Xenopus tropicalis: one gene and its partner. The protein of the gene in region 2 interacts with the protein of the main gene of each other region in a pairwise test. Links are inferred from orthologs where the notes say so. Each region holds a gene or a part of one and is shown on either strand. Other genes may lie near its edges.

Evidence for each region.
Region 1: the proteins of dmd.3 (region 2) and ctnnal1 interact in binary tests that used the Homo sapiens proteins (3 or more experiments, as listed by UniProt). The two-hybrid records come from large-scale screens. The link is inferred for Xenopus tropicalis from reciprocal best matches to the Homo sapiens genes DMD and CTNNAL1.

The regions. Positions count from the first base shown.
Region 1 is NC_030682.2:77,054,042-77,058,268, forward strand, and holds the start of ctnnal1 (alpha-catulin), read right to left. Parts: upstream 2,801-4,227; 5' UTR 2,564-2,800; coding exon 2,438-2,563; intron 1-2,437. UniProt on the Homo sapiens protein: May modulate the Rho pathway signaling by providing a scaffold for the Lbc Rho guanine nucleotide exchange factor (ARHGEF1).
Region 2 is NC_030678.2:107,802,535-107,806,034, forward strand, and holds part of dmd.3 (dystrophin), read left to right. Parts: intron 1-358; coding exon 359-481; intron 482-2,570; coding exon 2,571-2,708; intron 2,709-3,500. UniProt on the Homo sapiens protein: Anchors the extracellular matrix to the cytoskeleton via F-actin. Ligand for dystroglycan.

The DNA.
Region 1 (4,227 bases), on a different chromosome or scaffold from region 2:
AGCAGTGATCCCCAACCAGTGGCTTGTGAGCCCCTTGGATGTTGCTCCCAGTGGCCTTAAAGCAGGGGCTTATGTTTGAATTCTTGGCTTGGAGGCAAGTTTTGTTTGCATAAAAAAACAGATTTACTGCCAAACAGAGCCTCCTGTAGGCTGCCAGTCCATATAGGGGCTACCAAATAGCCAACAACAGTCTTTATTTGGCACCCCCAGGAACATATTTTATGCTTGTGTTGCTCCCCAAGTCTTTTTACACTTGAATGTGACTCATGGGTAAAAAAGGTTGGGGATCCCTGTACTAGAGGATGGAGTTCAAATTACAAAGACAAAAATAAATTTTACAAATTCTGCATTGTTAAGTATATTATTAAGTAAATTAGAAGCTTTGCATTCTCTTGAGTTTTTAGGAAGATATCGGCTACATGTGCCTGCACCTGAGTGTATTCCATTCATTCGGGTGCAGGCACAGGTAGGAGGTGTATGGCGGTATTTTCGGCAAGTGTTTTTCAGCTTGCCGAAAATATACACCATACGCCTGGTCTGACATTAGCCTTAGAGCTCAAACCAGCACTACCCTGAATCACACAACACAACTGGCATTATACTATAATCCTCCTTAGCCACAATTCTCTGCTCCCTGTAAATTCTGCCAGCTAAACAACAAGCAACATAAACTGAATTCTGAGCACTGGGAAAACAAAGATCAGGGCTAGCATATATTAGCAGTAACCCCAGAAAAGTCTTGAGTCCCTTGTGCACAAAGCACACCAAAGCTGGATTTTAGATAAATATAACATTAGCTTATAAACAAGTAACTCATAAACCCTACTCACACTGGCACTTGGAAACAAGAGGGGGGGGGGGGGAGTCAGTATTGCAAGCTAATTATACCCATATTTGGTTGGAAACTTTGGATAATTTTGACTATATTACTCAACCACCTGGGCATGCAATTTCTTCTTAAGAAGAAAACTGAAAATCTTATTTGCCAATGCACCCTTTGGCTTTTAGTAAGATTCTATTATTCAGCCCAATAGAACAATATAATTTCACCATCCTTGTGCTTGGTCAATTGTGCAGTACCCATTTGTTTGGCACAAACTTAATTTGAAGGTTTGGTCACTGTATGGATACCTGCTGTGCTTACCGTCATTATTTATTGTGTTGGTTTTTCAGCATGTCAAATGTTATATACCCTTATGCACAGTGTTTCAGAATATGATGCCACTGTACAAATGAATCCAATACTAATGATAATAATCACGATGAGCTGAAACGTTTACTAACACATAACATGCATTATTTAGAAATGATGATGAACTGCTAACATTTTAAAGGCTTATTAAAACATGCTTTGGTGAAGAGACTAGTTTCTCTTTATAAAACTTGAAAAAAATCTATTTGTCCCACATAGCATAGTACTCTTCTTATATACAAGTATAACAAATAGCACATATGACAGACTGATGCAGAATGAGGCCAGCTTTTTGACTGGTGTAGTGAAGTGAAGAAGTAGTTATTTTAACCCCTAGTGTGCTTGGATTGAATATAATTTCAGAGAATACATCAGTTTCAAGGCTCTAGTATATCAGGACCAATACAAACAGCTTCTAGTTTAAATGCAGCTGGCTGCAGCTTCAGCTTCTACATACAAGAATCTATTGCACAAGTGTCAGCCTTTTTCAGGAAAGCAAGTGCAAAAGGAATAAGCAACAAAGAACTAGTCACACACCTCCTTATAAGGGGCTAGATACACACACTGCAACTCAGTGCACAAGGGACAGTTACACCTAGGTGCACACAACACACATTACTTCAGCACACAAACACAGCTTTCACACCATAACATTGGCACAGACACTTTAAATTGACAGCTTTCCCTTCCACTGCTTCCAACCATTTACATTTTTACCTCAAAATATGTTAAAAAAAAAAAAAATCTATATCCCTGTACTATGGAGATTATCATTAACCCATCCACTGCTTCTGGCCAGAAATAAATACCACAAAACTATAAAAAGTTAAATTCTTTATACTAAAATACCAGTGGTTTGTCAGATTTTACAAGACTATGAACATTTATATTTGTGAACATAACTCCCAGCATCCCCTGACAGACAGGCTGGCTTCTTTAGTTGTACAAAAGCTAAAGGGGCAGAGGTTAGTCAGGCGTTTCTAACGCCAGCACTGCATAAGTGTCGTCAAACAGATAAAGCATAGACAGGTCAATATTTTACAAAGTTACTTTAGCTGCATATATAATGGGTTTGTTACAGTGTGCCAGTGCAGGCGGGGAATCTACGCTAGGCGGACAATTACAAGCGAGACATTGCCCCTGCTGGGTGCAACCGAGCGCTGTTAAAGCAGATCAGTAGTTAACAGAACGCTTATTGCGCCTCACAGCAGATTGGACTCGCCAGTGTTTTCCTTGGCTGTTTACCTGAGACACCAAAGGGATCAGAGTCTGCTCCACAGATTTGGTCTTAATTTCCAATCCCGTATCAATGCTGAAGCCAGAAGAAGACGAAGAGGAGACCCCACTGCTGCTGCAGGGAGAAGTGGCCATGGTTCCAAGAGGCTTTTGCAAAACAGTTCCAGGCTTTGGACGAAAGGCTGTGCTACGTGTGACTTCCACTGCTGCTTTCGACCCTTTGGCTTCTCTCCCCTACTCGTACTGCTCCTCAGAAGCCCCAGGCAAGGATCGCCAAACTACAAGAACACAAGGAGAGACATCACAAACCAGAGCCCCACGCTGCAAACCTGCACCTCTCTGCTGTACAGTCTATGCTTCCACAAATTCCTCCCCCATTCTCTGTCTCCTCCTATTTCACCTCCCACATCCCAGCCCACCAAGGAAAAAAAATCCTCTCGCCTGCAACTTTCCCATTCTTCTAAAATTCCTTTCTGCCTGTCCTAGGTGAGCAAACACAGCGCGGCTGGGTTGTTCTCCCAGTCCAGCCGTGGATCGTGTGGTAATTAGTTATAGTTGGCGAATTCCACAAGTAGGTCCTTTTAAAGTGACTGAATTAGACAGATTTAATAGAGTTTTACAGAAATTACTTCAGCCTTTCTAATGTATTATACATGTTACAGGGATGCCTGTATGCAGTGATTGAACCCAGCTTTAGCATTCATAGTCATCTGTTAATATAGGGTCAGCAAGTTATGCAGCACTTCATATTAATTTATAACAAATGAGGTTACATAGTAACAGTAGGTTGGAAAAAATATAACAACCAAGGGTTACAGAATACAAACAGGATCAAGGGGGCGCTGCTCACAATATTAAGAAATAATATTCTTCGTATAAACATTTACCACAGTGGGGATACCTAAACGCCAAATTTTACCACAGCTATCAACACTTTCCTGACTGACAGGAAAGTCCTGCACAGAAGGATCAAAGTCGGAAAGGTTTTCCTGCATTTTACGATCGTTCGGTACAAAAATTTCCTGACTTTCGGATTGCCAATACTATATTATTGTGACTAATACGATTTTTTAAGCATATTAGTGATATTTGTGATCTTAAGAAATTATCGTATCCAATCCGAATTTATCCCATTCGGGATTTGAACTCGTGTTTTCATGAATGTGCCCCCTAGTGTGAAAAACAATATTGTGCCAATGAATTGTGCTCATCTAAATATAGAAGTAATGTGTTATAAAAAGTAATGTTTCAGACTGATTTATTGAATATTTCTCTAAAAAACCCCACTAGCCCTGCCCATCTATTCCACTTTCTGCTGCCTTTCTCAGGCTGTGCAGGGGGGCTGTTGGCAGTCGGGCCACTTCACTGTAGGATAGGAACCAATCAGCAGCTAGGCTGACCTGATAGGGAACTGAAGCCTGTCTTTGCTTGTGTTACAGCAGGGTTGTGATTGGCTCCTCCCTTGCTATTTTTTTTCTGGCAGGAGACGTTTTGACATGTCCACCCCTCATTTGAAACACAGACAGGGACCTGAGAGGATCTATAGGGAGCTCCAATAAAGGGGCCATTTTTACAGATAGTATTAATTTTTAGCCCAAGTGAAACCAGCACCATATATTATTCATAATTACCTACAAGATTAGAGGGTTTTTTTTTATCCTATATGTCTCCTTTAACCCTTTTAGTACAAGAGATATAACAGTTCTAGTTGCCCTACAGGGCCCATATTTTACTATCTGGCCATAAAAACTTATTACTTGATGCCAATGTTCTTAACCAAGTAAAAGATAAAAATATAG
Region 2 (3,500 bases):
TTATATTGTCTGCTGAGTGCTAGTAACAAATAATATAACAGTCCCACAAAGTACACCACTCAACAGGTCTTGTGCAAGCAAAAATAATTGTTTTAATTTAATTTACAAACCCAATATATAGATAGCTACAAAAGCATTATCAAAATATAAAACAGAGCATATGCATTTATGCTGTATTTGGAGAATATCATGTTTTCAATATACAATGAAATATAATAAACTATAATGGTGGTAGAATGAAGTACAACGTATACAAGTTCAATAACATGCTGTTTACTTTAAAAGCAAGGCTAAAAATTACAGCTTATTTATGTTGTAAAATAATTTGTTTTAAATAAGCTTTACCTTATTTCTACAGGCCTTGGTTTCTTCAAAGGAATTGGAGCAATTTAATTCTGATATGCAGAAATTGCTTGAACCACTGGAGGCTGAAATTCAGCTGGGAGTGAATCCTACAGAAGAAGACTTCAATAAAGATATGGTAAATTAGTTGTGATGGAGACCTGAAATGGCAAACAGAGAATAAGAGAAAATACTTTGTTCAGTTACAAAAACTTCCTAAACACTGTTACAGTCTACAATGTTTAGTCGCCAGAATGTTGTTGAGCTCCAAAAGACATACTCTTCAAGTTTAAGATGTTATTTCTGTACATAAATGCAAATGCCTACAGTACATTTGTATGATACTTCAGTATGGTCAATTTATGTTAATGAATTCATTTGTAAGTCATAGCAAATTGGAAATGTTTCTTAGGAATGCAAAATAAGGATTTATAGAAGCACAAATGCCATAAATGGAGATTAGAATCTTGAAACTGACAGTCAAGTGGTATTTAAAGAATACTAATAACTATAAATTGCTATAATTTAAATTCTGTTCCATATATAGATTTTTTAAATATGTACAGCACAGAGATTTATCTCCTTTCTCTTTTATTTAAATGATGTAGTTAGTCGTCGAAAGAAAATATAGACTGCTGTGCCAGTTTTGGCTTTATTTTTATTTTTTTTAATATTCTATAAATCCTGAGCAGATTTAAATATGCTTAGATGTTGAATTCTTGAAACTTAAAAATAAAACAAAAAAACAAAAATAAACACACTAAACCTAAAAGCACTATATCTATGCTGGATCTAATGAAAAATGTATGAAAAATTAATGAAAAATAAATATATGTGTTTGCTGAAGAATGAAGAAAAATAAAAAATGTATGTAAGTCAGGTTTTCCATTTCTTCCAGGTTCTTAGTGGCATCATAAAGTTATGTTGTATATTAACTGCAGTGTAGGTTCTTGGACTAGTAGCTGGGGCATTTTATTGCCAAAAACTATATTCACAAAAAGAGAAAATGCTCTGAGCTGTTGAGGAGCAATTGTTGCTATTTTGGGTTGAACCTTAATGAGTAAGAGCCTTAACTGGATCACTAAATGGTAATACTAAACTGCCATAGATTAGTCATTATTAGTTATGAGCGAATATTTTCACCAGGCATGGATTCGCAGCTAATTTCCACATTTCGCCATTGGCAAAATTCGCCGCGGCAAAATTGGGCAGGGTCGCGTGAAAAAAAGCACGGGCGACAAAAAAATAGCCGTGGCCGACAAAAAAAACCGCGGACGACAAAAAAAAAATGAGTTTCGCGAATTTTTCGCCGTTTCACGAATTTTCTTGCCGTTTCGCGAATTTTATGCTGAAGTGCAACAGGACAGATTCGCTCATCATTATTCGTTATGTCAATGGTAGTGACAATGGAAGTGAATCTGTCTGAAAAATTTGTGAAACACGTTGAAGTCAATAGGCAACAAATTTTACACTTGACAAATTTTACATGCAACTTTTTTTTTCTTACTCCAAATGTATTCATGTCAGTGGGTGTTTTTTCTCTCTCCAAATGCATTAAATTAATCTGTATTTTTTGTATCAGTGACATTTTTGTCTTGGGGACTTTTTTGCCTCGGCGACTTCTGTCTTCTGTTGTGGCAAATTTTTTCATGGCAAGTTTTTGCTGCAATTTTCACCGATAAAAGCAGAATTTCTCTGTGAATCCATGCCTGGCAAAAAAAAAAAATCGCTCATCACTAGTCATAGGCGTTGTCAATGTTTGTGAAATGGTCTCTATGCATAAAGGAGCAATTTGTGAAGAGCCAGAAATGGTGGTATAAAGAATTAAATTGCTGCTGTGGAAATTCACTCAAATGTTAGCCTTAGTAATAACTTCTCAAGTATAAAGACAGCAACATCCAGGGTAACTTTACACAAAAATCATTCTGTTTTATTCGTAACAGAGGTTTCCAAGAGAGAAGTAAATGGTAACCGTGCTCAACAAAAGTAATAGCAACTCACATTTTTTGTTCATTAACCAACACTAAAATTCCTTGGTATTCCCTTCCTCCAAGTTGCTGCCAATTACTACATCATTACTGTAATGTAATAGAAAACATTGATTTGCACTAATGCATATCTAGCAGAAGATGCAAGAGCATGAACGTCTCCCCCTTTTAACATCATGCTCTACTTTATTGTATTTTATCATAGTTTTCAAGTGTATTTTCTTCCTTTTTTGTGATCAGAGTGAAGATAATGAAGAGCCTGTGAAGGAATTGCTGCTAAGGGGAAATAATCTTCAACAAAAAATTACCGATGAGAAAAAATGTGAAGAAATAAAACTAAAGCAACAGCTTTTACAATCAAAACACAATACTCTAAAGGTAACCAGTATGATATATACATAGAAGGTTGATATTATAGTAAAATATAAAATTTTTATATGATTTTGTGCTTTTACTGTTAAGGATACAGTATGTCTTAATAATGTTTAAATATTTTATTTATATATATATATATATAATATATATGGTTTGGATATCATGAGCAAATGGAAAAATAGCAATTAGACAGTAATACAAATTTATGGGGGTAATTTATCAATAACTGAGTTTGATTTTTTTTCACGATTAAAGGTTTTTAGTGCTAAAACTCACAAAATTTGAAAAATGGTTCAAAAACTCTAATGTCTGATATTTATTAAGTGCAAAATAAATTAAAACTCTGTGTAAAACATCAGCATCTAAAAGCTTGCAAGTTTATCTAAAAGTCAATTAAGTTTGGAAAGTATTCAAGTTTTTTTTTATTCGAGTTTTCCATGTTAATAAATAAGCAAGCATTCAAGTTTTTTTTTAAATGTGAGTTTAATACAGTTAGAAAAACACACTTGAATTCACAAACTCGAAAACTGATAAATAAGTCCATTAGACTTAGAATTTTTGAGTTTTCATTGTATTTTTTTAAGTTTTTTTCTTTGCTTCTACTTACATCTGTATAGTTGCATTATCTGGCAAAATAACCCAGTAAATTTGCAATGCTGTATAAAATGCTTAATTCTGTTTTAGAATAAAAGTTGAAACAATTCTATACATATTTTAAGTATAAATACAGCAGCACGTCACATACAGCAGGGGCGTCACAAAGAGTTTTTACACTTTGTTCATAGGTAGAACATC